Linked DNA regions of Coturnix japonica. The protein of the gene in region 2 purifies or fractionates together with the protein of the main gene of each other region. This does not show direct contact. Links are inferred from orthologs where the notes say so. Each region holds a gene or a part of one and is shown on either strand. Other genes may lie near its edges. The genes, in order: BAG2, SOX2, DNAJB6, KHDRBS1, DNAJA2, HNRNPA3 and MYEF2.

What was found.
Region 1: the proteins of SOX2 (region 2) and BAG2 purify together in Homo sapiens (affinity purification with mass spectrometry; 3 studies listed by BioGRID and IntAct, with this or other methods). This does not show direct contact. The link is inferred for Coturnix japonica from reciprocal best matches to the Homo sapiens genes SOX2 and BAG2.
Region 3: the proteins of SOX2 (region 2) and DNAJB6 purify together in Homo sapiens (affinity purification with mass spectrometry; 3 studies listed by BioGRID and IntAct, with this or other methods). This does not show direct contact. The link is inferred for Coturnix japonica from reciprocal best matches to the Homo sapiens genes SOX2 and DNAJB6.
Region 4: the proteins of SOX2 (region 2) and KHDRBS1 purify together in Homo sapiens (affinity purification with mass spectrometry; 3 studies listed by BioGRID and IntAct, with this or other methods). This does not show direct contact. The link is inferred for Coturnix japonica from reciprocal best matches to the Homo sapiens genes SOX2 and KHDRBS1.
Region 5: the proteins of SOX2 (region 2) and DNAJA2 purify together in Homo sapiens (affinity purification with mass spectrometry; 3 studies listed by BioGRID and IntAct, with this or other methods). This does not show direct contact. The link is inferred for Coturnix japonica from reciprocal best matches to the Homo sapiens genes SOX2 and DNAJA2.
Region 6: the proteins of SOX2 (region 2) and HNRNPA3 purify together in Homo sapiens (affinity purification with mass spectrometry; 3 studies listed by BioGRID and IntAct, with this or other methods). This does not show direct contact. The link is inferred for Coturnix japonica from reciprocal best matches to the Homo sapiens genes SOX2 and HNRNPA3.
Region 7: the proteins of SOX2 (region 2) and MYEF2 purify together in Homo sapiens (affinity purification with mass spectrometry; 3 studies listed by BioGRID and IntAct, with this or other methods). This does not show direct contact. The link is inferred for Coturnix japonica from reciprocal best matches to the Homo sapiens genes SOX2 and MYEF2.

The regions. Positions count from the first base shown.
Region 1 is NC_029518.1:79,197,086-79,201,071, forward strand, and holds the start of BAG2 (BAG family molecular chaperone regulator 2), read right to left. Parts: upstream 2,801-3,986; 5' UTR 2,679-2,800; coding exon 2,503-2,678; intron 1-2,502. UniProt on the Homo sapiens protein: Co-chaperone for HSP70 and HSC70 chaperone proteins. Acts as a nucleotide-exchange factor (NEF) promoting the release of ADP from the HSP70 and HSC70 proteins thereby triggering client/substrate protein release.
Region 2 is NC_029524.1:14,829,380-14,833,624, forward strand, and holds SOX2 (transcription factor SOX-2), read right to left. Parts: upstream 2,801-4,245; 5' UTR 2,093-2,800; coding exon 878-2,092; 3' UTR 237-877; downstream 1-236. UniProt on the Homo sapiens protein: Transcription factor that forms a trimeric complex with OCT4 on DNA and controls the expression of a number of genes involved in embryonic development such as YES1, FGF4, UTF1 and ZFP206. Binds to the proximal enhancer region of NANOG.
Region 3 is NC_029517.1:7,716,774-7,720,915, reverse strand, and holds the start of DNAJB6 (dnaJ homolog subfamily B member 6), read right to left. Parts: upstream 2,801-4,142; 5' UTR 2,672-2,800; intron 2,666-2,671; exon of another isoform or gene 2,644-2,665; intron 1-2,643. UniProt on the Homo sapiens protein: Has a stimulatory effect on the ATPase activity of HSP70 in a dose-dependent and time-dependent manner and hence acts as a co-chaperone of HSP70. Plays an indispensable role in the organization of KRT8/KRT18 filaments.
Region 4 is NC_029538.1:4,465,967-4,470,233, reverse strand, and holds the start of KHDRBS1 (KH domain-containing, RNA-binding, signal transduction-associated protein 1), read right to left. Parts: upstream 2,801-4,267; 5' UTR 2,712-2,800; coding exon 2,390-2,711; intron 124-2,389; exon of another isoform or gene 91-123; coding exon of another isoform or gene 27-90; intron 1-26. Other genes in the region: PTP4A2 (protein tyrosine phosphatase type IVA 2), read left to right, coding at 3,672-4,183. UniProt on the Homo sapiens protein: Recruited and tyrosine phosphorylated by several receptor systems, for example the T-cell, leptin and insulin receptors. Once phosphorylated, functions as an adapter protein in signal transduction cascades by binding to SH2 and SH3 domain-containing proteins.
Region 5 is NC_029526.1:6,535,196-6,538,695, reverse strand, and holds part of DNAJA2 (dnaJ homolog subfamily A member 2), read right to left. Parts: intron 3,124-3,500; coding exon 2,900-3,123; intron 1,699-2,899; coding exon 1,618-1,698; intron 1,313-1,617; coding exon 1,179-1,312; intron 1-1,178. UniProt on the Homo sapiens protein: Co-chaperone of Hsc70. Stimulates ATP hydrolysis and the folding of unfolded proteins mediated by HSPA1A/B (in vitro).
Region 6 is NC_029522.1:14,084,638-14,088,137, forward strand, and holds part of HNRNPA3 (heterogeneous nuclear ribonucleoprotein A3), read right to left. Parts: intron 2,862-3,500; coding exon 2,736-2,861; intron 2,640-2,735; coding exon 2,587-2,639; 3' UTR 2,568-2,586; intron 2,482-2,567; exon of another isoform or gene 89-2,481; intron 1-88. UniProt on the Homo sapiens protein: Plays a role in cytoplasmic trafficking of RNA. Binds to the cis-acting response element, A2RE. May be involved in pre-mRNA splicing.
Region 7 is NC_029525.1:8,888,744-8,892,243, forward strand, and holds part of MYEF2 (myelin expression factor 2), read right to left. Parts: intron 3,041-3,500; coding exon 2,939-3,040; intron 2,748-2,938; coding exon 2,697-2,747; intron 2,622-2,696; coding exon 2,553-2,621; intron 2,291-2,552; coding exon 2,192-2,290; intron 1-2,191. UniProt on the Homo sapiens protein: Transcriptional repressor of the myelin basic protein gene (MBP). Binds to the proximal MB1 element 5'-TTGTCC-3' of the MBP promoter. Its binding to MB1 and function are inhibited by PURA.

The DNA.
Region 1 (3,986 bases), on a different chromosome or scaffold from region 2:
GACAGGTAGGGGAACGTGCTGAGGAGATGCAGGCAGGCTTTGTCAAGGTAACAGTGTGGGTTCCTACCACTAGGTATTTCAGTGACTGACTGACTTTAAAAAAAAAAAAAGAGAAGGAAGAGAAGGGAAGAAAATAAATCGCCATGCGTGAATACAATCTGAACTGGCGATATATAGCCTCTGTCCACAGAGAAGGGGGCCTGGAAAGGTCACAAGTGGGTATCAGATTGACAGACAGGATTACACACCCAGTCACGCCAGCGGCCATTTCTGTGGGCTCCTGACTGCCCCTCCCCAGCTTGCTCTGCTGGCAGCGAGGGCACAGTGCCTAAGGCAGACCCGACTCTGGCAGCTTCCTCTCCTTGTAGAAGGCTGTCAGGTCTGTGCCTTACTGTGGTGAGTGCAGCAGTATGGGCTTCTTTCTGCTGGGTGAAAATATCCAATGACATCCTTATGGATGGAGTTTATCTGTTGCTTTCAGCATTAGTTTAATATTCCGCGGATCGTCTGAGCCTAAAAGAACCATTCTTCACTCCTGACTTGCCTTGGTCTGAGAGCGATGAGAGGTGCCATGCCGTTCTTCTCTGCATGCCATGGACATGAGCAGAGCATTCCCTGGAGGAACAGGTGGGCCGACCCACGCTTTGTTCCACCAGCAGAAACGTGATATCCGCTTTCCTGGGACAGCTGCAATAACGCATTAACCAGGGGCTTGCAGAAATAGCTCACTGCAGCTCGCCCGCTGGAGATGAATTTCCAGAAGGATGCAGAAACACTCAGTGAGGCCTCAGCGCTTTTTCCTGAAACACAGCTCAGCCAAAGTGCCGAGGCCAAGTGGGACCCTTCAGCCCGCTGTCCTCAGCTGCTCCTGCTGGGCTGGGGCTTGGAGTAATGAGCAGTGAGGAAAGGGCTGAGAAGAGGACAAAAGGTACAAGAAGTTATAAAGGGAAAGAAAGGAAACAAAAGCAGGAGTCTGTGTTTGTGCCTGTGCATCGTTAGACCTGGAACTACATGTCCATTTAATGCTGCCATCAGAACGCAGTGACTCATAAACAGCGGCTTCCAATGGCTGTGAGATCCCTTGACGCTGCACAGTAAGTTGGGGCAGTGGCTTGTCCTGAGCCTCTGCCAACACCTGCAGTGCGGGCCCAAACCTGGGCACCACTCAGCAGTAGCTCCTGGAGGTGCCTCAAATAATTGGCAAGAACTGCAAGGCCCAGGGAGCTGTGCACCCCTATGGCTGGTGGGTACCAGCCCACGGCAGCCCAGCATGGCCCTGGGGGAGGCAGGAAAAGGAGGGCAGCTGGGATCAGCTCTTCCAAAGGGATGCGGGGCCCAGCCAGCCTTCAGCCGCCTCATGGCCAAGTTCTTTATGAAGCCCCTCAACAACCCCATGGTGCACTATGGCACTCCTCACTGGTGGCATTCACAAGTCTTATCCACGGGGCTGCAGCTCGGTCACACCATCTGGAGAAGGAAGCAGCCCAGGCAATCTTCCTCCTAACATTCAAATGGCTTTAAAGTGAGGTGTCTTCACTGCTTACACACAGCAAAATTGAAACTTGGCTGACTTTAATCACAGCACTTTGCCCCTATTCTGCCATCATTCCACACTTAGAAATGTGCCTCTCTGGAAGGCCCACGGCAAGCAGGAGGGTTTCATTTTGGCCTTCGTTTCTGGCTAATCAAACTGTCTGCTTCGTGTCGGAGTTGCTCAGCACATTTAAAACCCACTTTTGCATACCCTCCTGCCTATCCAGCGCAGCATTTTGTAATTATACGCTACCACACTCCACCTGGATGCCAGCAGTGAGACCTGTTTGCAGGCACTGACTTTGTTTAGTCAAATTCGGAGAAGCCTGAGAAGAGCTCCGAGGAGATTTCATCAGTGAAAGGCTAACGCTGCTGCCTCCTGAATAATGCAAAGCAATGCACACAGAAAGGGAAAAACCCAGCTCTCGTGGGGCTCTGTAATTACAGAAAGACCTGGAAGCATCCCGGGTGGCTCTGAGAGCCGCTCAATGCACGGCGGGCTGTGTGGGACAGCAGCGCTGCTGGCTGAAGCGCGGTGCCCACCTCACCCGGGCAGCTCACACGGGCTGTATCCGGAGCTATTTACAAATAGGGCTGTGCCGCAGAGCGCAGTGCTGGCCGTACCACAGCTCAGGGTTTCAGAGCGGCAGCCGTCAGTGCGGGCAGCCCGGCGGGCACACAGAGGGTCTGCGAGCGCGGAACGTGGCCGTGCTGGGTGCCTGGGCTGAGAGAGGCACGGGGTGCACGAGCGTTACCGCGCTTCAGCTCCGAGCTTCCAGCAGCTCCCCACAGAGCAGAGCAGAGCAGCGCCTGGCGTTACACACATCGGGCCGGGAAAATCCGTTTCTCTTATAAAAACGCCTCTATTCCACGCACCCATGCACACGTCCCACGGCAGCGGGGCTCTCCCGCCGGGCCCCGCCGCCCCGCCGTCCCGTCCCTCCCGACCCCCCGCCGCCCCGGCCCCACCTGAGCTCCAGCTGGTCCAGGTTCTCGAGCAGGCGGCTGGAGCGGTCCGCCATGGAGGTGGAGCGGTAGAAGCGGCCTCGGAGCTGCCCGGCGGACGGCGGCTGCTGCTGCTGCTGCTGCTGCTGCTGGGGCGGCGCGCCCTCGCTCGCCTTGGCGCTGATCTTAGCCTGGGCCATAGCACTCGCCCGCTGCCGGCGGCGGCGGCCGCTCCCTTCCCGCGTCCCGCAGGCGGCGGCGGCGGCCGAATGCCGGCGTCCCGCTCATGGCCAAAGAAGGAGCCCGCCCGCCGCCTGCCCCCGCGGCACCCCGCCTCCGCGCCCCGCCTCGCGGCTCGGCCCGCCGGGCACCGCGGCGCGGAGCCGAGTCACACGCAGCGTCCTCAGCTCCCGCAGCCCTCAGGACCGCAGCGCCGCGTCGGCACCGGCGGCCTTCTTGCTCTGTTTCTGAAACTGGAGCTAAGGAAACGGGAGGGAGACTTTTAGTGTCTACACTTTACACGATGGCCGTTGTAGAATCACCGACTGGCTCGGGTTGGAAGGGACCTCAAAGCCCATCCGATGCCACCCCCCTGCTGTGGGCAGGGCTGCCCCCCACCAGCTCAGCTGCCCAGGGCCCACCCAGCCTGGCCCTGAGCGCCTCCAGGGATGGGGCACCACAGCTCTCTGGGCAGCTGAGTCAATGCCTCACCACCCTCCAAGTAGAGAATTTCCTCCTAATATCTATCTTAAACCTCCTCTCTTTTGATTTCAAATCATTTGTCTTTGTCCTGTCACTACTGGGCCATGATCTCAGTCTCCCTCCCTTTTATCATCTCCCCTTAAATACTGAAAGAATGCAGTGAGGTCTTCCAGACCCTTCTCCAAATCAAACGGACTCAACTCCCTTAGCATTTCTTTATTGGAGATGAGCTCCAGCCCTCTGATGATCCTTACGGCCTGCTCTGGACCTGCTCCAACAGCTTTGTGTCTGTCTCATGCTGTTAGTACAAAGACTGCAGAAAATTTGGAGGTCAAGGAAATTGGTCTGTGAGCAGAGCCAGAACTGAGCATTCTTAAAACCACAGTCCTTCAGATGATCCCAAGAACAGCACCTTGGTGCTAACGGACCCTGTCTCAGTGCAAGAAGTAGTCTAAGACAATACAGAAAGGCTTATGTTGGAAGTTGTTTCTGTTCTCCCTCAGTGCCCAACAGAACTGTATGTCCATTGAATGGTAGGAAACACAGCGGAACCACAGTCAGTAATGACGTTGGTGGGAGATCACATATCACTTCTCCACATGGAGCAGAACCTTCCCTTAGAGGAGCTCAGGAACCAGCTCCCACAGAAACCCCTTGATCCTAGAGTTCCAGCAGCTCAAGGCACACACAGGCTTTGCTTGCCATTGTTGTGACTGTTTAAAAAGGAATTTGCTTATCCCTAACTCCAGGTTTGGGCAAATACTGCATAGCTCCAGCAGCCCAATTTTTGGCACCCTGCTGAGAGA
Region 2 (4,245 bases):
AAAAAAAAAAAAAAAAAAAAAAAAAAAAAGTTATGAAAGAAGGCTTCATGTTACTCTGCCAGTGTTCTTATGTCCTGAAGAGGTATGGTTAGCCTAAATAATTTTGTTCAATTACTAATATATGTTGAGAGGAAAAAAAAAAAAAAAAAAAAAAAAAAAAAAGGAACTTAAAATATCATCACAATAAATGTACAGAAATATTACAAACCATAAGAAAATATTTCAAACACAGTAAGTTCAGGTTGGGGTTGGGGGGGGGGGGATTGTTTGTTTGTTTTTTTCCTTCTCTTTGAACGGGATGAAGTCTGGAAACAAAAAAGTTATTATAAATTAACAAACGGCGTGTGAACCTTCATGGCCTTTTGTTTTGTTTTTTTTTCTTGCTTTTTAACCAGAAGTAAAAAAGAAAATAAAAGCAAAACGTCGTACATCGAAACGTTTGCCCTCTCCCAGCAAACCAAGCCCACGGCTCGCCAGTCTTCCTCCTACCGCTTTTGCCTTTTGTACAATTTCCAAACCAATTTTCAACGTCCAAATGCTGCAAAATAATTCCCTCTCCTCCCGCAGCTGCCGTCAGCAGAGCTGCCACGGCCACGGTGCTCCACGGAGAGTCTGTGTGGTCAAAAAATCACTCGCGAATTCTCGGCTTTGATTTCTCCCCTCTCCCTATGAGCGATGGACATTCTGATTGCCATGTGGAGTTTGATAAATACTGTACAAAAGTTGCCTGCAAATATTCAAACGTTCTCCTCTCCGCTCTTGGAGTCTAAGCTCTAAATATTACCGGTGAAGACTTTTGCAAACTTTTCCTGCAAAGTTCCTACCGTTCTCACTAGAACTTTAAAAAAGTTTTGTGTAGTCGCTTCCCCTCCGAGCTCTATACAAGTTCCTTTGTCGGCTTTATTTCTGACCCCCTCCCTGCCCCCCCCCCACCCCCTCCCCTTCCCCCCCAGAGTTTTCTCTGTACAAAAATAGTCCAAAAAAAAACCACCAAAAAACAAAAACCAACAAAAACAAAACAAAACAAAACAAAAAGTCCAGAATTTCTAATAAAAGTTTTTTGTTGTTGTTGTTGTTTGTTTGTTTTGTTTAGTTCTCCTTCCCCCCCCACCCCCACCCCGCCCCCCCGGCCCCTTTGTCTTACATACATTTGAGTAGAAGGGAGTGTGCCATTAATGGCTGTGCCAGGAACAGGTGCACTCTGGTAGTGTTGGGACATATGAAGTCTGCTTGGGGCAGCTGGTTCTGGTACTTCAGCACCTGGTAGATACATGCTGATCATGTCCCGAAGGTCCCCGGCTTGGCAAGGAGCCCTCGAATGAGACGAGGAGGTGACTACGGGGGGACTGGAGCTGGATTCCGTCTTGACCACCGAGCCCATGGAGCCCAGGGCCATGCCCGGGGTCCCTTGCTGGGAGTACGACATGCTGTAGGTAGGCGATCCGTTCATGTACGTCTGCGAGCTGGTCATGGAGTTGTACTGCAGGGCGCTCACGTCGTAGCGGTGCATGGGCTGCATCTGCGCCGCGTTGTGCGCGTTCAAGCCCGGGTGCTGCGGGTAGCCGAGCTGCTCTTGCATCATCCCATAGCCTCCGTTGGTCCAGCCGTTCATGTGCGCGTAACTGTCCATCCTCTGGTTCACCCCAGCTCCCAAGGTGGCCCCAACCCCTACCCCGGTCGTCATGGTATTGGTGCCCGGCGCCAGTAAGCCCCCTGGCAACGTGTACTTATCCTTCTTCATCAGGGTCTTGGTTTTCCGCCGGGGCCGGTATTTATAATCCGGGTGCTCCTTCATGTGCAGGGCCCGCAGCCGCTTGGCCTCGTCGATGAAGGGCCGCTTCTCCGCCTCGGACAGCAGCTTCCACTCGGCCCCGAGCCGTTTGCTGATCTCCGAGTTGTGCATCTTGGGGTTCTCCTGGGCCATCTTCCGCCGCTGCCCCCTCGACCACACCATGAAGGCGTTCATGGGGCGCTTGACGCGGTCCGGGCTGTTCTTCTGGTTGTTCGCGGCCGAGTTGGAGTTGCCTGTGCCTCCCCCCGAAGTTTGCTGGGGGGCGGGAGGTTTCAGCTCGGTTTCCATCATGTTGTACATTCAAACTACTTTTGCCTGGAACCAGCCCGGAGCGGAGAAGCGGAGCGGAGCGGCGCCCAAGTCCCGAGCCGGACTTCTTTTTTTTTCTCTCTCTCTTTTTTTTTTTTTTTTTTTTTTCCTAGGGAGGGGTATGAAGGGGGGGAGGGGGACTCCCCAAAACCACACTTGGATCGAGATCAGAATCTTCCTCTTCGCTGATGGATTAATAATGCTAATAACTGCTATTATTACCGCCGGAGCCTCGGATTTAAAAAACTTCTTCCTCCTTTTTCCCTTTTCTCTGCCTGCCGCCCTCTCTCTCTCCCTCTCTCTCTCTCTCTCCACCTCGGTCTTAAAGAGCCAGCAAACTACTTTACCCCCTTTTGCAAACACACACACTCTCTCTCTCTGCCTTGACAACTCCTGATACTTTTTTGAACAAGTTAATAGACAACCATCCATGTGATGGGGGCTTGTCAGGGAATAAATGCGTTCGCCCCGGCCAATCAGCGCTCGGCGGCTCCGCCACTGAGGACAAGTCTCTACCCCTGGTTTTGCATGAAACGGGGCGGGGGCTCTCAGCCGCCGGGACGGCGCGGCGGGGGGGGGCGGGCCCAGGGCCGGCCCAGGCAGCCACTGGGAAGCCTTTGTATCTCCCCTTCCAGCAACAGGTCACACACGCCTTTTGGAGGAAGTGGGTAAACAGCATTGTTGCTACGTTGCTTTTTTTTTTCTTTTTTTTTAAGTCGATGTTGGAAGAAGCCATAAGGGGAGCAGGAATGGAGGAATGGTTTCCCCTCCACCCCCCGCCCCGTTGCGGTGTCCCCTGAGCCGTCCGGCTGCGTGTGCAGCGCTCGCCCCGTCCGTGGGGAGCGGAGCCCCCGCCCCGGGGCTGCCCCGCCGACAGGAGCCGAGCGGGCCCCGAGCAGAACGGGGCCGGCCGTGCCCTTCTCTCTCCCTCCTTCCATCGTGGGGTGCCCGCTGGAAGCAGGAGCGGAGAACCCCCGACGGCCCTCCCGGCACAACGCGGTGCGCGGCCTGCAGCCCCGGGACGCGTCCCGTGTGCGATGCTGGGTGGGCGCGCCGGGCGGGGGGGCGGCCCGTAGGACAAATAGGTAGTTTTGTTTCTCTTGTTGTCGCTACACGGGGCTGCACAAAGCCCCGGCTAAGTTTACTTCCACTCTCTTGTTGGGATCTTTGTTGCTAAAACGCACTTGACGACAAAGGAAGGAGGGGAGAGAAAGGGGGGCGGAAGGGGGGGGGGGGGCTCTAACCAGCCCCACTCTACGCGCACTGCCGCGCCCCGACGGCGCTGTTCTGCCCGCGGCCGCGCTCCCCGGCAGCGCCGAGGCCCCCCGAGAAGGGCCCCCCGAGAAGCGCGGCCCCAAGCAGGGCCGGGTTGGGGCCGGGGCAGCGCCCGGGCGCCCCGCGAGGGCTCAGCCGCGGCACTGCGGCTCCCCCTGCCGGCACCGTGCGGAGCAGCGGGAGATGGAGTGGGGGGAAGGGAGCGGCCGTGCCCCCCCCCCGCCCTCCCCCGTCCTGGTAACGCGTAGAAAAAGTGCGGCGGGAGAGGGTGCATCTCTGGATTATGCAAATAAATGTGATCGGCTTTAACGCGTGTAATTCGAAGGTGTATTTATATATATATATATATAACCTGGAGAGAAGAGACGGGTTGAAAGCGTCGGAAAATGGGCGCGCGTTGCGGGATGCGCGCACCGGGTGATGCGCGATTTTTGCGCGGCCCGACTGCCCCCGCGCCGACAGCTTTTATTGGTCGTGCACGGGGCTGCGGTTGATAACAACGTTCCAAATCATAACGATAATATTACAGCTTTGGGGATAATGAAGTTTGAAAAGCGGGCAGGAGCGGGCGGTGGTGGTGTAACAAACGGATACCGGAGCGCGGCTCCGCGCGGGGCCGGGCCCCTTCCTCACTGCGTTTATCGCACCCATAAAGGATGGGAATTGCCCAACAACTGCGTTATGGGGCGGTATTTACAGCTTCGTTTGAACTAACTGCTTTAATTATCGACGCAATCAACTATATTTGGCGTATCTGCATCATAACGCGCTATAGAAAACGAGGTGACGGCCGTCCGGCTCCCCGAGGAGCTGCCTCCTGCTCTGGGGGCGGTGGGTGCGCGGACGAACACGGCCGGACCCCGCAGCTC
Region 3 (4,142 bases), on a different chromosome or scaffold from region 2:
CCTGTCCTTATAGTGTTCCAGCCACTGGTCTTCCTCTGGATATGCTCCAAAAAGCATATTCAAATCTATGCTGAAACAAACAATCATCCCAAAAACTAACAAGTTTTTGACAGGTGAAGTAGCTTGTCGCTGTTCTTTCCATTCCATTAATAAATTGATTAACGTTATGGCCACAATAAAGCTGCTGATAGAAAATGTTCCATTCAAAGCATCACGATTTCTAATGCATGAAGCAGAAGATCTACTGCACGCTGGGAGCTTTGTGTATTGACATGGGTGAGATGCGCCAGCAGCACAAGAGCAGAACGTTAACACGCATGGCTGTGTCACTGCCCAGCCTCACTCAATGCCAGACCAAACGCAATGCCTCCAACCTCACATGGACACACAAACATCTCTCCGATGCGGATCCAACTTGCAAATTGTGTCAGGACACACAGGGTGGAGTTCTGAAGAATCTTTACAGTTAAAAGTGTATATTTATCCATATAGCTGAGTCCGAATAGCGCTAGAAAGCCGGAGGACAGAGGCCTTCGACCTGTCGGTATTAGAGAGAGGAACTGAATCCCAGTTTGACTTGCACCTCCAAGCAGCTCCTGCTCTCTGCTCCACAGCACCATGAGAGACAAGAGGGGAAACAGTTACACAAGCGCTGTGTGCTACTTCAGTATTTACTTCTAGTTTTAAACAACTGAAAAGGAACACGCAAAAAAAGGGCAATCAGAGACGAGATGGGTAAATACATTCACTCGCTCAGCCAAACAAATCTTCATTGTGACAACATAATCCAGCAAACCGAATGGTGCTCCAACAACCAAGCCTCTCGATCATCAGCTGAACATAATCCCTAACGAAAGTACAACGATCTCCAAAGGGTAAACAGAAATCAAGGTCAGCACGCAGTGGGAAGCGCAGCCTTGGAGGACCAAGTGATGGGGCCTGTTGTGGGGCTCTATCAGGAGAGGGGTGGTCACGCAGCGACTTTAGGAGGTGATTTGTACCCTATCTACTTCGGCTCTTGTGAGGGCCATCTGTTGTACCTGTGTCAGGTGTGGAGCCCTCAACAAAAAAAAGACATGGAACTTTTGGAAGGGTCTCCAGCAGGAGGGACAGGAGATGACCTCAGGCGGCGCTGGAGACTCCCCTGATTGAGGACAGGCTGCACGAGAGTTGGTTTGTTCAGCCCTTGGAGAAAGAGAAGGTTGCGGGGTGAACCTACAATTGGATCAGCCTTCTCAGTAGCACCTGAAGGGACCTACTCCGAGGATCTCGAGGGGAAGTTTATGAAAAAGCCTTCTGATGGACAGAGGGTGACAAATAGCAGGACACGGGAAATTGGTATTTTAAGTTAGGGAGGGAGAGGGCACAGATTTTGGTTGGATGTTAGGGGAAGTCTCTATCACTAGGGAGGAGTGGAGGAGAGTGGTTAGGCCCTGGAACAGGCTGCCCAGGGAGGTTGTGGATGCCCCGTCCTTGGAGGTGTTCAAGGCCAGGTTGGACAGGGCCCTGGGCAACCTGATCTAGTAAAGGTGTATGTTTGGTGGCCCTGCCAGGCAGGGGGGTTGGAACTACATGATCCTTGAGGTCCCTTCCAACCCGGGTCATTCTGTGAGCAGCTGGGCTGACACCACACCAACACCTTGTTCTTCACACACTGACACCTCACCCCATAAAAACATCAAGCCCAGACCACCGGCTATGCAACATCAAAAGCATCCCCATCGTTCTATATTCAACTTTAGTGACATTAACTTATCCAGATTGGAACCAGCCAATCAATTTACTCTTATCAGAACTCTAAAAGGAACCTGCCCCCACATTTTGATGAACCTTTTCTACTGTCTTCTGTGGGCTGATGGATGTTGCACAGTTTTCAGTAGTGCTGACAAACTGCAACACAACATGAACTCATGCAACAAACAGAAATACTGGCCATAAATAACTTCATTTCCCAACCCAGCACTCAGACAGAAGCGCAGCAGACACTGACCATGACAACAATCAACCTTACAATGAATTTGCAGCTCAACCTGGAAACATCTGGCTTTCAAAACGCTGCTGCCTTCACCCACAACACTTAGTTCTGACCCTGCTCTGAGTTACTAAAAGGAAATCGGAACTCAATTCCTATCAGAAAAAGAAATAGATAGATAGAAAGAAGAAGATAGAAAATGGCACGTTTAATTTACAAGCGTGCCAAAATTACTCAGTGAACAAAGGAAACAGAAAGGCCTGTTCAATAGGCTCTAGATCACTGACTCCTCGCTTTTTGCGGCCGAAACCAGCCCAAGCAGAAATAGAAGCAGGGATTTTCCCCTTCCCTGCTCTCGGTAACCACGAAGCACAGCCGGTGTGGGACATCCCACAGCTCACCACCACCCCGCAATGAGCTGAGCGCAGGGCAGCCCCATAGCAGCCCCATAGCAGCCTCCCTCCCTCTCTCCCCCCACTCCGGCCCAGCGGATCCACCATCACACATCCCGCAGCGGCCCAGCATGGCGTCACCAACAGCCGCGCTCAGGGCCCGGTCCCAGCAGCGCTGTCGCTACGAGCCGCGGCCCAGCCCAGCCCGGCCCGGCCCGGCCCGGCCCAGCCATCGGCGCCCCCTCCCGCTGTCCCAGCCCTTCCCCCTGTGGTACCGACCGACACCCGCCCGCAGCCCCGCGCTCACCCGCCGCAGTGACCTCCCAGCCGGCAGCCCCGGGACAACGGCAACGGCGGCGGCTCCTCAGCCGCAAACAGGAAGAGCCGTCACAGCGCCGTCACTTCCGCCCGGCTGTTTCCGGAAGTTTCTCGAACGACGCACGCACCGCTTGCTCCTGTACAGGCGGGGGTGGAGCGCCCCCTGGCGGCAGAGCGGGGAGCTGCAGGGGGCGGCTTCCTTTTATCACGGTCATCGATTACGCTTGTCTCTATATGGTCTCGTGATGGCAGCTGATAAGGGATGGTGGCTTTATGGGTGTTGGTATGGAAGACTTGGGCAGACATCTTGTTATCAGAGGATCTCCATTGCTAAGGAATTCTCAGCTCTCTAGCTCTCTATATCTTCCTGAAGGGAGGTTGTAGTGAGCTGGGGGTTGGCCTCATCTTTCGTGTAATCGGTGATAGAACTAGAGGGAATTGTTTTAAGCTGCGCCAGGGGAGATTCAGGCTGGACATTAGGAAGTATTATTTCTCGTAAAGGGTAGTCAGGCATTGGAATGCACTGCCCAGGGAGGTGGTGGAGTCACCGACCATGGGAGTGTTCAAGAAACGTCTGGATGTTGTGTTGATGAATATTATTTAGCCGGGAAGTATTGGGAATGGTTGGACTAGATGATCTCCTAGGTCTTTTCCAACCTTGATAATTCTGTGATTCTGAGGTCAGTTATGGGGGTCAAAGATGAAAAGCCCATCAGAAGCATAAGAAACACTTGAAAATGCTGCATAAAAGAGGGACTAATATTAGTTCCTTTGATGCTGTAATGGCTGTAGCCTTCTTGGCCTGCTGCTCTGCTCTGCTGCTTAATGAATCCAGTTTTTCTATTTACAGATTCTATTTTCGGTGTTAGCGAAGAACGCATGTATCAAAGACTGTTCTCACATCATTTAATTATGGTAATACTGGCAAAGTAATTCTGGAAAGTGCCACTTAATTAAATATAAGCACTAACTTTTTTTGCTGATACCTTATCAGAAACAATTAGACTTGAAATACGAGCAATACACCTAACGTTTAAAACGTTAAGCAGAAGCTTTAAAAGCACAAAATAATCAATTATCGTTAGAATTCTCCCGAGTTTTTCTGCTGAGCACAATCTCAGTTTTCATTTGTATGGAGCTTCTTAGGTAATCAATAGGATGCAGGTTTATCCGGTTGCCTCTTTGTAACCAAAGGCTTGAACAGAATTCCAACATAAAGCATGAGATATATTCTACTGATGACTTGGGGTGTGCAGATGACATTCTAAGAGCAGCTGCTGGCAGCCACGAGATCTCACAGCTTGTGAATGGTGCTTATTCCTTGCAAGGACGGCCTGATCAGCGTTTCTATTCATTAATTTGATCTGAGATGTGCTTCCTTATCTGTACGCCAGTGACAAATACATGTTAATTCTATGTCATTCTTCATCCACAGCCACGTAGGTCTAACAGGTAAGTAA
Region 4 (4,267 bases), on a different chromosome or scaffold from region 2:
GTGTCAGAGGTGCAGCAGAAGGTTACCTTCTTGCCACGGGGAATGGCAGCAGGCTGGCAGCATGCGTGGCAGTGGCTTCCCGGACTTCATGGGGGCAGTGATTGCTTTGTCTCAGAAGAAATCCTATGGGGCAGGTAAAGGGGGGTTGGTAACGCGGCTGCATTGCAGGAAGGAGGCTCAGCAGCCACAGTGCCACTCCTGATCTCAGCCCGAGCTCTTCCCTAGCAAAACCACCAAACGTGGACCTGCAGCACCCTGTGCTCTGCCCTCCTCACCATCCCGCCTGCCTGGGAACATGAAGGACCTCCAAGATGCTCCAGGTAAAGGTGTGAGCGGAGCAGAGGCAGCTCACTCACAAAGCACAGGAAGCTCAGAGATGAAATGCCAGCTCTGTCCAAGGAGAGGATCTCCATGAAATGGAAATAGCTCAGATTAATGCAAGAACCTGGAAAACACCTCCAGCCGACAGACACGGCACCGGATGCCTCCTGACTATCCCCAGTGCCTGGAAGCACTGTGCCTATGGGATGTCAGCACCTCCAGCCCTGCAGCCACAGCAGCCAGAGCATGAATGAAAGCAAGGAAAAGGAAGCTGGTGTAGATCCTGAATCACGGCAGTGAGGAACCTCATATTCCAAGGTGCAAAAATCCCCGTTTGCAACGTCTGTTCAGGGTGCTGTGTAACACAATCCCACCATCTACCCCCTTCACTGCTTCATATCACACAGTACATTGTCTGAGGATCAGCGTTACATCACTGTGTGGCCTTTCATCCCAATCCCAAACAATGCTGATTTTTCTTTAGAAACACTGAACAGCTCCAGAATTACAAAGGTACTTTCAGGCTACTTTAAGGCTACTTTTAGACACCATTTTACACTCCCCAAACCCCCAGTTCTCAATATACCTGAAGCAAGCAAAAAGCACCCAGCCTTCTTCCAATGTGACACCTCACAGAGCTGCAGCTCACTATGAGCAAACTCCAAGTTAATGGAGAAGCTCATAAATCCTTGTTAGACCGCTCTGCAAACAAAGCTGGGCAAAGGGGGCTGAGAACGCTGCTCCTTCTTTGGGAATGAACACACTCCTCAGGTCTCATGTCACTGAAGGCATTAGCACAGAGCTGTGAGCATCAGCTGGCTAAACGCTTTTATTAATGAAAAACATTAAACTGATGGCAAATCGGATTATAAAACTGATTTATTTAGATCGAGGTGCCCACAAATGATGCCAAGTTACCCGTGACGACGTACCTCAGCTATCTGCAGAACAGGAGACAGCAATTCTTAAGAATTATTTCCCACATTAAAGGAGGAACTAAAAAAGCCTCGAGCGCTGCGACAATTATGGCAATATTCAGCAGTATAAAGACCTGAGGAATCATTTGGAAGCAGGATGACAAACGGCAGCGCACGGAGCTGGTTCAATGTGCTGCTATCCCTGTGCTGGCACCACCTGCTCAGCACCGCACGCATATTAAGCTCCAAGCGGCAGCCAAGATTTGAAGCTGTTCCTGTTTGAAGCCGGCTGTGGGCTCTGCAGGTGGCACTGAAATACAGGAACAAAACTCACCAACCCCTATGAGAGGTCAGAAAGCTGACATGGCTCTATTGCAGCGCTGGGTGCGAGGATGGCACCTCCAAGCTGCACATCCAGGGGTTAAAGCTCACTGATTTCACATGTTTTAGATATGGAAATGTCGATGCATAACCACAACACGACGGCCTCTTCCTAAAATTGCTGTACTTATTAAAAACAGCTGTTGACTACATTCCTAATTAGTACTTCAACCTTGTTATGGTGCCTATACTCAGCCCCAGCAGGGTACAGTGCACATCCCCACAGCCCGTGGAATGCTCAGGCTCTGCTTTTAGGCTCCAGCTGTCCCGCTTATCTGGGAAAAACAACCCTCCCGAGCCACAAGGTCAGTCTGCAGAATAGTCTGTATGAAATGCTGAAGGCTCCGATTTTATTGCCAGGTATCAGAGGCAGCTGAGCCCACCCCGGCAGCTGCACGGGGAGGGAGATGGGGAGGAATGAGAGCGGGCAGGCGATTGGACAGCGGCGATGGGGAAGGAGAAGGCAGCTCCGGGCACAGAACAAAGGCTGCCATTCCCATTCACTACTGAGGATCAGCAGCACCACGGAACGAGCTCTGGACGTGTTACCGAGTGGAAAAGCACAGATCGCAGCCCACGATCTGGCCGCTCAGCTCGGACCCCTCCCCCAAGGGATGACAGCAGCCAACCTCCCTGTACAACGAACCTTCGGCTCCCGGTGCCCTATAGCTCATATCACACACAGCCCAGCGCTTCATACAGAGCCGTTCCCAGCACTCGGTACCGCGCTGCCGCCACATTCCATCCCCACCCCCCGCTCCGCTCGGTACCTGCGCTGAGGAGCTGCATGGCGTGAGTGAAGGACGGGTCCAGGCTGTCCTTCTCGGCCATCAGCTCGGGCAGGTATTTGTTCTCGGGCTCCATCTTGTTGTTTCCCCCTGTCAGCAGCGGGGCGGGGGAGGCGGCGGCGGGGCCTTGCGAGCCAGAGGAGCCTGCCGCCCCTCCGCCGGTCAGCAGCGGCTGCGGCTGCTGGGCCCCACGGCCCCCCCCGCCCCGGGGAGACCGCCGCGGGTTGGGCCCCCCTTGGCGGGATCCCCCGGGTCCCCCCGGCCCGCGGCCCATGCGGGCGTTGGACTCATCGCGGCGCTGCATGCGGGCACGGAGCGGGACGGGCCCGAACGGCGCTGCCACCCCGAGCAGCCGCAGCGACGGGACCGGAAGTGGGAGACCGGAAGTACCGCCCCATCCCTCACAGCGCCCCCACACAGCGCTTCCCGCGCGACCACCCCACGCGCTTCTGCGCATGCGCTGTCGCGCAGCCCCTCGGCTTCACAGGGCGCATGCGCGGCGTGAGAAGGAAGCATTCTCCTTGTGCGCATGCGCAGTGCCGGGCGCGCGATTGGGAGAGCAGCACGTGCGCGGCGCTGTGGCGCCAGGCTCAAGGAGCTTTACGCATGCGCACTGCGGGTCCGACATGGCGGTGCGGGGAGGTGCGATGCGGGACCGGGACCTGGGATATGGGCCTCATGTCTTAGTGCTGCTCTGCCCGGAGCACTGTGTGCTGTGGGCTGGCTGCAGCAATAGGCTTTTATAGGCTGAATATAGGAGCTGCTCTGCTTTAGGGCCATCCCTGCTCCCAGCATTAACAGGAGCACCGGATGTGGATGCGATCACATCCCCATTGCTCCCTGCTGACACAACGTGTTGTTAATCACTGAGCTCTGACACACAGCGTTCGTTCAGCTACAGAACGGACCTGCTGGGCTGCACAGCTCCGTGCTGCGCTGTGCACACGGACGGGAGGGGCCCCGCTGCTGCTTCCTGCGGGCAGAGCACACAGCAGCTCTTGTTCCAGCTGCAGGGCGGGCGCTCCGGGCCCGAACTAACGGGGCACGTGGTTGAGACCGCATCCCTGCCCGGGGCTGTGGCCGGGGCTCGCTGTCTGTCCGTGCTGTCTAACCGGAGCTGCCGTATCAGGACAGGAGGGGATGGGGGGGTTACAGGAGGGCTGTTCCATCGCCCCTCTGCGGGGGGGTGCGCACGTGGTGCGGGCGGACCGGTCCAAGTGCGGCGGGGGGAGGCGGCGGTTAGGGGGAGAGTCGGGCCGTACCAATGCCGGCTGCGTGGGGAGGGTGCGGGGAGCTCCGGCTGCGCAGGGATGAGAGCGGCGGCTCCTCGCGGCTCGGGGACGGGGCTCAACCCGCATCTCGTGTGGCGGAAAACGGCTGCGAGGCTGCGCCGCTCGCACGGCACAGACAGACACGGGATCCCCCCGCGAGGGCACCGAGTGGGCGCTTCCACGCGGGGGGATTGAGGCGGAGCGGGCCGTACCACTGCCGGTTGCGGGGGTGCGTCGCGCCGTGCCAATCAGCGCCGTGCGGGCCGTACCACGGGGCAGGGCGGGGGGGGAGCGGCCTGTGCAGTGTGAGCCGTGTGGCGGCGGGGCTGTGCGCTGTGTCCGCCGCTCGGGCCGCACCGGGGGTCGTTCAGCCTCAGCCCCGTCACGGGCCCCGCCGCTCCCCAACGCCGCCGCCGCCCCTTCCTGCCCCCATCGCGCCCCCCGGCCCGCGGTGTGGGAGGCGCCGGGTCCGCTCGGAAGAACGGCGCCGCGCTCAATGCCCGGGGTGAGGAACCGGGGGGGGCCGGGGTGAGGAGGAGGCCGGGGGAGAACCGAGAGCAGCCCCGGGGCGGGCATGGACCGGGGGGGG
Region 5 (3,500 bases), on a different chromosome or scaffold from region 2:
TTGCTAAAATGCAAGATAATCATTATAAACGAGGAGTAAACCTAAAACCAAACATAAGCATCCACTCTCTCTTAAAAGTTACAGTACTAATTTCAAACTACTAAACTGAATTTTGGAAACTTAGTTCTGTTCTGTTAACATCAGTGAAAGGAGGATTACTGAGGGAGTCCCATTTTGCAGTATTTTACCACAGCTCTGAAGTATCATATAAATATAGTCAGCAAAACTTGAGATTTACATACATTGAAGAGAAGACAGCTGGTCAAACTGGCTTCATACAAGACAGAAATTATCTAAAATAGCCTGGCACATAAGATTCCACTTCTATACTGCTCTGACAGTGAATAGTTTTTCACACTGTTTGTCACCTCTAGCAACACAAGTACATCCTCCAGCAAACTGAAGGATAATTATACAGAACAGCTTAAATTCTCTGTTCTACCCAGCTGAAATGATGTACTCGAATGGTGAAAACAAGATGTTCAGAAATATCATTTGTAAAATATTTCAATGAAATACAGCCCTTTGTAATTTCAGGTATTGTCATAAACAAAGCTATCTAAAAGGCTGCATCACTGCTCTGCAAATTGCCTAACATTCAGAAAGAATTCACACAAAGCACATATCGCATGACGGTCAAACAACCAATTCAGCAAAGGGTATCTTAGTAATTTTTTTTTTTTTTTTTTTAAGTCCAACTTCAGTTTTAACATAAAGCTGTTCTTAGAGAATAAGACTGCAAAATTAAATAAATAAAGGCTTTTAACCCTCCTCCCCTCTCCCCCCCAGATGTTGGTCTTTTTAATAGAAGAGTAAAAGCAACAAGTAAAATTCACATCTAAGTCTTTAAAAAACAAAATAAACAGAAACCACCACCACCACCAAGTAACACACACAAAAAAAAACAAACACCAGAATTAATCCCCATTACTCAAGTTTCCAGGTTGTTTTCTGCACTCCAGACATACAATGGTGTTGCTGCTCTAATTAAAATGACTTCTCCACACTGGGACCAGACACCTAACTGACCACACGAGGGAAAAGCTCTCCTAGATGAGATGCCTTTCACTGTATGACAGAAGCTATGCAGCAGTTCTTCCAAACACACAAGATAAATATTTACATATTTTTATTGCATATTTATAAGCGCACTGAGGAATACAGAAGAGCCGGCCTACCTTCTCCATTGCAGTCAGAGCATACAGACTGCATCTGCTGAACCATTCCAGGAGCCAGCTGTCTGATCATGATACGTACACCTCTACCCCGACAAGCATTACATTTCTGAACAGCTCCAGCCTTCCCTCCTTGACTAGAATAGAAAGCACCAGTTGCATTAAAACCAAGCCTTTCAGAAACATATGACAGAATATTTACAGCAGTAGGTTAACATGCCTGACTGCACTGCCAATGAGTCAGGTGTCCCTACTGGCAAACACAAACACACATACAAACCCCAGTTAGTTCAAAGCCCATGAAATTACAATTAAACTATTTTCCAGTCTGAGTGAAGACCCCAGTAAGTTAAATACCGATGAAGATCTGACACAGAAAATGCTTCATTATATCATATATCAACAAAGCAACTAGAGAATTCAGAAGCAGAAACAAACTCACCCATTACATGCGCTACAAAGGACATTCTTGCTAAGTTGTAGTTTAGTTGTCTTTCCATTATATAAATCTTCTAAAGAGACTCTGCAAAATAAAGCGTTTTCTCCAGTGTTATCATTTAACAGTATCTGTTCTCCACATAATTAAGATATCTGCCTAGGACAAGTAATAGAAAAACAGTTCTTCATAATGACTAAATCTGCTGTTAAAACAAGATATTTTTAAAAAGCACCACATTGGCTTTCACAAGGAATCATTAAGAATTGTTCCATACATATGAATACATAGACACAGCCCTGAACACCACTTAAGAGAAAAGCTATGATGTAACTGGCAGAAACAAAAACAAATTAGTCAGGCTTCTCCATAGGAAGCAAGCAAACATAGCATGTTATGTTTCATTACAGTCACATCTGATATTTTAGTTTTCTTTTCCGAAGAGGTTCTACCAAGCAAGTGAGAAGCCCTCCTCTCTCTAGATCATCTTCGAGGTATTTATTGCATACATACACAAGAATATATACTTACTGCTGTACTTTCCATTGGAAAACAGAGGATACTGGGGGAGAGGAGGCATAAAGAAGGACTAACAAGTCCCAAGGCTATATGGTTCTTTACATTTGTTCATTTTTAGACACCCTTGAATACACAAGCAAATTCTAATAACCTTTGTAAAGTGAGAGAAGTTGATTAACCCCAAGTTCACATTACTGGACAGAATTTTCAACGTCAAGAATATTAAACTAGAAAAGGTTGCCCAGCATTAGCACATACAAACAAAAACAAAACTAAAGAAAATTAGTAACACAGCATACACTACTAGCTGCTAAACTAAGTAAGCAAACAGAAGCAACCAGACTCTGCATGGTTTGCCAACCATAGAAAAGATGCAGCCTTAAAGGAAGTTTGAACAAAGCTGCCTAACATTAGTACCTCTGCTTTCCTAAGAGTCCAGCTATTATGCAATACTTGTTTATTTAATGCAATTTCACATTAGAACTTCCAAGCATAACTCAGAAGCAAAACCAAGAAAAAAACATCAACTAAGGCTTAGTTGCAGGTTAGTAGTCAGACAAATCAAAGTATCAGATAACCTACATAATTAACTATTTATTGAAAATAAGATAACTGCCTTCTGGACCATACATGACACATACAGGTCTGAAAAGGAGGTGCAAACTGCATAACCTCACCTGAGGAGCACACCAAAATTTAAGCTAGCAGAGAAGAATACTGATAAGAAAAACTTGAAAATGTATATTAATTTCAGCAATAAGATACTTACTTGAGAGGATGCATCATATCTTCACCTCTTCTTCTACCATTACGACTTCTACTCTGACCACCCATGAAATTGAATAATCCACCACCAAAGATGTGGGAGAAAATATCGTCCATTCCACTGCTTCCACCACTACCTTCTCGAAGGCCCTGTTCTCCATATCTATCATATAACTCACGTTTCTCTGGATTTGACAATACTTCATAGGCAAAGCTTATTTCTTTGAACTAGAAGAAGGACAGAATCACATCAGTGCATGATAATTTGTAACTAAGGGAGAATTTTGCTACAGTTCCCTGCCCAGCATGAACACCCTAGGATGATAGTACACAACATAACCTTTTCCACCCCTCCTTTCTACTAAGAGAGGAAGGCAGACTTAGACATAGTTGTATTACATCTTACTTTATACTAAAACATGATATTTTATCGCAGATATCCATTGACTTGCTTTTTGGGCCTAGCACAAGACAATCTTACTAACACGTAAAAAATGCACATTATTGCAGTAGCCAACAGGCAAAAACAAGTTACATACATGACAGAGATTGTCAGACTTGTCAGGCACTTAAAAAGTTGCTCAATTGTTCTCCTGTTTTAAAAT
Region 6 (3,500 bases), on a different chromosome or scaffold from region 2:
TTCCACATCACAAACAACAGCTAAGCTACCCCACCCACCTACAAAGCGGTCACTTACACACTTCATCTCTTAAAAGGTTGCATACAGATCTTGTTCATAAAGTTTATTATGACACTATTTTTCAAAGTTAACATTGTTGTCACAGTACAGCTACAAGAGGCCCTGTTAAAAAGAACACTGTCAATACATTCTAAAACTTTTAGAAATACCATATCCATTTTCAGAAGGGACATCAACCCCATTCTCCAGTTGTCCCTGCAACCAGATGCAGGCCCCAGTTACAAATCTACACGACTTCTAGGTGTAGCAACGTACAAAGCAAGTCAGCAGTTGGGTGGCTCACTCCCTAGTGAGATGTTTTAGTTGTTAATGTGTTTTCAAACTCCAAGTGGGTTGGTTAAAAAAATGCCTTTATTGAAATACAACCTTCCCCCACCCACCCTCCCCACAAGCCCAAATTACGTACAACAACAAAATGTTCACTGCATCAGCAATTCTTGCTTTTAAGTTAGAGATAGTTTAAAACTCCACAGAAAAGAATAAGCAGACTTTGATATCCAGTTTGGAGGCTAACATCTTTGACAGTGATTCCTTGTTTTAGTGTACTGCAGTCTAAATACACTCAATAACAGTGTTCAAATAACATTGTTTAATTATTTTTTTTTTCCAAGCAACACACTCATTTTGCTAATAACTTCTTAAAATTATATTATTAATATGACTGATTATGCCTTGAGCCATTTCATACATCTTTGCAGATTCATTCCTACACTGGAATCGCATTTACCTTATACTGCACATTGACCCAGAAGTGAAACAGGTGTAATTTCCAATATCACATATTGTCAAGTGTCTGAACATTTCTTCTATTGACTGTGTCCCTACTCTTCTGAGTCTCAATTGTCAGAAAGCACTGTCCTGGCAATAGTTGAGAGAGAAGTGACATCAGCTGAGAAAAGCAGAGATTGTAGTGCCTTAATTTGGAGTTCAGAAATGAGAATTGAGTACAATTTCTAGCCAGATGTGCTGATAAGATTTGCTACTCCAGTGCATCAAATCAAACTGTAAAATACTATCATTCTACCTCCTGTGGTCAGGTAAAATATAACTAGATTGTGTTTTGTTTCATCCTCAAGCTCTTACCTGAGCTTAGATATTCGTAAGGGAAAAAGCTCTATGCTACTTAGAGCCCATCGTGAATGGGCTTTTGGAACGCCATTACCTGGGACTGTCAGTGATTACACCTGTGCTACCCTTGGCTCCCAGTCAGATGAATGTGTCCAGAAAATTGCCTAGGGTGCATGCAAGAAAGTATATAGCCATTAAGTTATTTAGGAACATACCTATTACTCTCACTATGATGCCTCATTTAATCGAAACAGCACAGTCTGGTGTGAGGGAGAGGGGAAAGGGGAGAAAGGAAGGGGATGAAAATTCCAAGCCACCCTCCCCAAAGTATAGTTTTATTGAAACAGAATCATTGTATATCCCAAGGAAACAGGCACTTGATTCCCACCCCACCTTAACTTCTCGGGAATTACAATAAATAAAAAGGTAAAAAGCAAGTTTCTTTTTCTCTTCACCCAGAACTTCAGCAACTGCAGTTATCCCTTATACATCTCAGATGAGACTGGACACAGCTTGAATGTGACTAAAGTTGGTCTTGTTAAAATATTTATCATGCCTTATTTTCTTGAAGCGCTACTACTAATACAGAACTACAAATTAAAAAAATATGCACAAACCAAAAAGTAATTTGAAATTTTCATTTGAAGGTAAAGCTTAGTTCTATAATTCACAAACACTAATTTGAGTAACTCAATCCTAGTTATACATCTAAACAAACTATAATGCAACATACAGATGTTCTCCCTCTGTATGCCTATGTAACTCTTATCAATGACAGTTACATATATACACTGAGACTAGACCCCTTAAGACTGCAAATCAATAGGTGTTTCTATTGTTAACTTTAAATTAATACAAAATAGTAATTGAGAAATGCATTAATCTTCTCTACTAACAAGGAAACACCCTAAACTACATTTTATTTCTGTTATAGAGTTCTCTGTACCAAATGTGGAAGAACTGAACTACACAAATATTGAAAAGTTAAAAATTCCTTAATTTGTTTATTCCTGGTACCACTACCACAATTTACAGGGCAATATACCTGATGTAATGGGAAAATAAAAAGAAAAAAGAAAGACAAAGCTACAACAGATAAAGACCTCAGGAATGTACATCTAATCGACACTACATTGCATTAATCAATAGCTGCACTTTTTGCAAACTGTGGCTATGACAGTCCTGAACAAGAAGGGTTTCCTGTTTAAGCTGCAGTAACTTTTCTGACTATGGATCATCGCTCCTTCTGTGGCAGATTTTACAGTTCCTCTAATGCATTTGGGACGACTGTCTCAAAGTAACCTGCAGCTTTCCTGACAACTCCTCGCTCTCTCTCCTGCTAAGAACTGTAGCCTGTTGAATACAGGATAAGAAAATTATTACTCTCAGTGAACAGTTGTACATTATTCATCATCATTATAAATATTCATTACACTTACCCTTTTTCTGGTAGCATTTTTAGAATCTTCTACCACCATAGCCCCCACTTCCACTTCCAGATCCATAACCACCTGCACAAAAAACAAAACCCAGCGCATATTGAAACATAAGTGATACCAAGGAAATGTAAACAAAGGGGTTTTTTTTTGGTACAGAAATATATTTACCACCGTAGGGACTGCCTGAACTTCTACCACCAAAGCTGCCACCACCCTTCATGGGACCATAATTGGACTGCTGCTGTCCACTGTAGTTACCAAAGTCATTGTAGTTTCCACTGCCACCGTAATTACCTGAAATAAATTCACAAAGTTCGTGAAACTGAGACATTCGGTGTAAACTAGCAAAAAGTAAAGTAAAGCTACTTGTAAAGTAGCAATTTGAAATTAACATGGAAGGCCAAAGTTAATGCCTCCCAACTCAAAAAAAACTCTGCTTTCACCATCATTCTTCCACTATTCAGTGCTCTGTACGTGACATAAACTACAAGCCAAAAGCAATTTTTATTTGCTGTAACAAGTGATAAAACTGTAATGAGCACATAGATACACCAGAAGGTATTGGTAAGCGTGCAGTAGATTTTGCTGCTTAACCTCCTAAACTCACACTGGGTCCTTGCATGTTCTTACTGCTTCTTCCCCCCAAAATTCTACTAAAGAACCTAGCATGTTTTAGTGTTTGTGGTACATCCTGACAAGAAACACATCATTAAAGGCCTCTACTGAAGTGATCATAGATTCAGAAATTAATCATATCATTTCAAAGCTCCTGCAAAGATATCAATGCTGGCAACACAGAGTAAGAATACGGCTGAACTGATAACAGGACACATCTAGACTTTCATTTAATGCCTTCCACGCCATCAAGGGTTTACCCTTGCTAATGCTGTAAAACAGCCATGTAGTAATGTGGTTCCTGGTTATTTCAAAAGG
Region 7 (3,500 bases), on a different chromosome or scaffold from region 2:
ACTGCCAGATAGCGACAACAGCAAGGCACACAATGATACAGCACACTGATCTCAGTGTTTCCCATCAGTTCTTTTACACAGAACACTTTAGCTGGTACCTTTGTTACACAATCTAAATAGGAAATACCCAGCAAGTAACTTTACCTTTTCCTTCCCTATTACAGGAAGTAAGCTACCCTGATTTTCTCTACTCCAATAGCAGTGCAAACACTTTAAACTAAATGAGCCATTTCCCAGATTGGGACTAATAGCCCCATTTGTCAAGGTTGAAGAATTCATCCTATTGAACCTTACTGTGTAGATATGTCCTAGCTTCTCCCACCCTAAAGAAACTCATGTAAAAGCTAGAATTGTCTCTCAAGGCCTGTCTTAACTGTATATGAATGCAGAGTTCATGGAATTGGGTGGGGAAAAAAGAGAAAAGGGCAATACTTTAATTAAAAAGTGCCAGGTAAAACCATGAAAACATCAGAACAGTGAGAGAAACTGATTCTAGAAAGTGGGTTTAAATGGGTAAAAAATGAAAACTTGCTGATGTTATTGAAGTGCTATGATTCAGTAAAGTAAGTAACCCTGAGGGAATTGTAAGAACTCAAAGAAATACATTCATGTCAATGCCTAACAGAGTAGGGGGCTGTGCAGACTGCATAACAAACACTCCCATTTGTTCTGTGGAACAAACCTGACAAAATTTGTTCCAACAAACCTTGTTTCTAGAGAAAGAGCATTCAGGTGACCACAGGTCTAACAGCAGCACCAGACTGATAAAAGAGCTTCCTATAACAATAGGCAATGTTTCTGGATATAGGTAGCATAATCATTTCAGAAAGTAAACTGCTGATATTTTCTACAAAGGCTTTTCATCTTCCATCAGATTCATTTTCTGTATATAGTTCAGAACAGCAGCAGTGGTTCTCTGCTGGTCTCTTGGGAGAAAGCTTCCTCCTCACAGAAAACATGCTGTCAGAGAGACTTCAAAAACATATGGACCAACCTGTTCAAGATACTATGGTTGTTCAACAGCAGCAGGATTACTCCCAATAGTCTGCGTATGAGGAAGCCCTCAGTACTTATTCATTAGGCCTAAGAGGATGTAGTACAAGTAACAGACTTTTGAGTCCTCTTGTACAAACACTTCTAACTGTACTGGCTCTGGATTTTCACTGAAGAAACAGATGTTCATCCTAAGCTGCAAGTACATATAGTGAAAGATTATACTCAATTTTTAAAGACCTTAATTCCAAGCCACCAAGTCTAATATAACTGATAACCTCACTACATACCTACTGCTTGCTACACAATTACCAGTAGTTGTAGAGAAGCAAATAACAGTTACCCTTCATTGAGACTTGCCCAAATTAACAACCCTCTTTCTCCCCCAAAAGCCTACAAGTTGCATGTTTCCTAGAGCCCATGAATCTTATGGTTTTAACACACCTGCACTTTCACATTAGTGAGCTGAGGTGTGGAGCATAATGAGGGGCAGGGAAGAAAAGAAAGGCTGGCTCCTATGTGTTCACCCAGGTAAGAATATAGTAACAAAGTGAAGAAGGTTCCACTACTAACCACTTCCAGGCCACTCAACCTCTATACAGATAGAAGAGCATCACTCATTTGAGGGAAGCAAAAAGTAGCAAAAATGAACCCGGCCAGAAAGGCATTATTTATACTTTAAAAAAAAAAACAAAGAAACAACAACAAAGCTGGCCCAGTTTCAGAAGAGGCCAGGATACCCTGTCCTGAGCTGCATGAGAAAAGACTGGAAGAAAACAGAGGGAACCAAAATCCACCACTGCTCTCCAATGCTGCATGATTTGCAGCAAGAACCATTTTCCAGCATGTCTTTGCAAAAGAAGTCTCCTGGAAGTTGCAAAGGTAGTGAATGAACAGCTTGTTCAGGACTGCCAATATACGTTTCAATATCCAAATGACATAATGTCTGGCACAGTTAACAGCCTGAAGCTCAATACTTTCCTCAAATCATTACTTCTATGCCACAGATTAAAAAAAACATTTTAACTTCTATCTCCAGAGACGGACATAAACACATAAATATCCTTAAATAAATAAACATCCTTATAATAACAGCCAGTGAGACAGAGGAAGATGGCCAAATGAAACCACACCTCTTATTTTTACCCCCCTACTTAAAACTCTTCCAAATACACAGAGACTTGAACAGTTACCATACCCATCCTTCCAAAAGAATCTCCAAAACCACGGTTCAGTGCCATTTCACTACGAGCAAAGTCTCTGTCCATGTTTCCTCCCATTCCACCACGGAACATTTCTGCAGAGAATAATGCACAAACCAGAAAAATTCTGTCATATTCATCTAAGTTGATGTTGATACAGCACTTGTTTCATCGCTGCTTGTTTAGATAGAAGTGGGTTTAATCCATCAGTCAAAGGCACCTTTCATATCAGCTCCTATGTTTCCATTCATGCCACCACCCACATTTCCTTTGAATTCATCTACATTACTCATCTCTATCTGAAGAAAGAGCTTTTAAAACAGCTCACGGATTAGCAAACTAATAGCATTCACCCACCTCCCATCCGGCTGACTCCAAATCCTCCCATATTAGGCATTCCTTCCATTCCGCGAAATCCAGGTAGCCCTGCAAAATAAGGAAGAATGTTCTTCTATCCAGTAGTTTAAAAAGACATAATACAAAGATGTTCACTGCACGTACCGCCTCCCATTCTATTCATTCCGCCAAAACCAGGACCATCTATTCCCATACCTTTAAATCAAAGAAACAAATGCCATTTAGAACACAGGTAAGATCCTACTGTATTTCTAAAAGCAAAATGTGTCTCAAAAATACACTATGCAAGGATGGCCTTGACAAGAACGTGCCATTCTTCCAAACACGGAAATGACAATTATAAACTTAAAAGCTCTGAAACTTAAAAATGAAGAACATGGCTTTACCTCCTGGACCCATGTTCCCCATTCCACCACCCATGCTCAACTGTGTTGCACTAATGGGCTGCCCACCTGGTCCAAGTCCCATACCAATGCCACCAAGACCACCTTCAAAAATAAAAAGAAAAATAAAGCTATCAACATAAGAAAGACTTTCAGTGTAAGAAGACTGCTGTAAGCAAAACTATTACTGAACAGTTCCAAGGCCATATCAACATGTGAGCTGCTCTCAAGGTAATGCCTTCTATTTTATTACACTGGCCCATGATGTCAGAGGCGGATGTTGGTGGTATGGCAGTCAGGGTCAAACCTTCCCACCAATATTCTCTTACACTTTGTTGCCGTGTGACAGGTGGCAGCAGAGGGGTAGTCTGACAAAAGGGTGCCTGACATGGAAGTGTACATGAAGGAAAAGTTTGTCACTGAACTTGCCCATGCAGAAAAAATAGCACCCATTGACATTCACTGACACTAGCTGAATGTTTACAGAGACCAAACAGCAGATGTTAGCATAGCAAGGAGGTGGTGGTGTGTTTCAGCAGTGGCAATAGCTATCTGAAAGATAAGC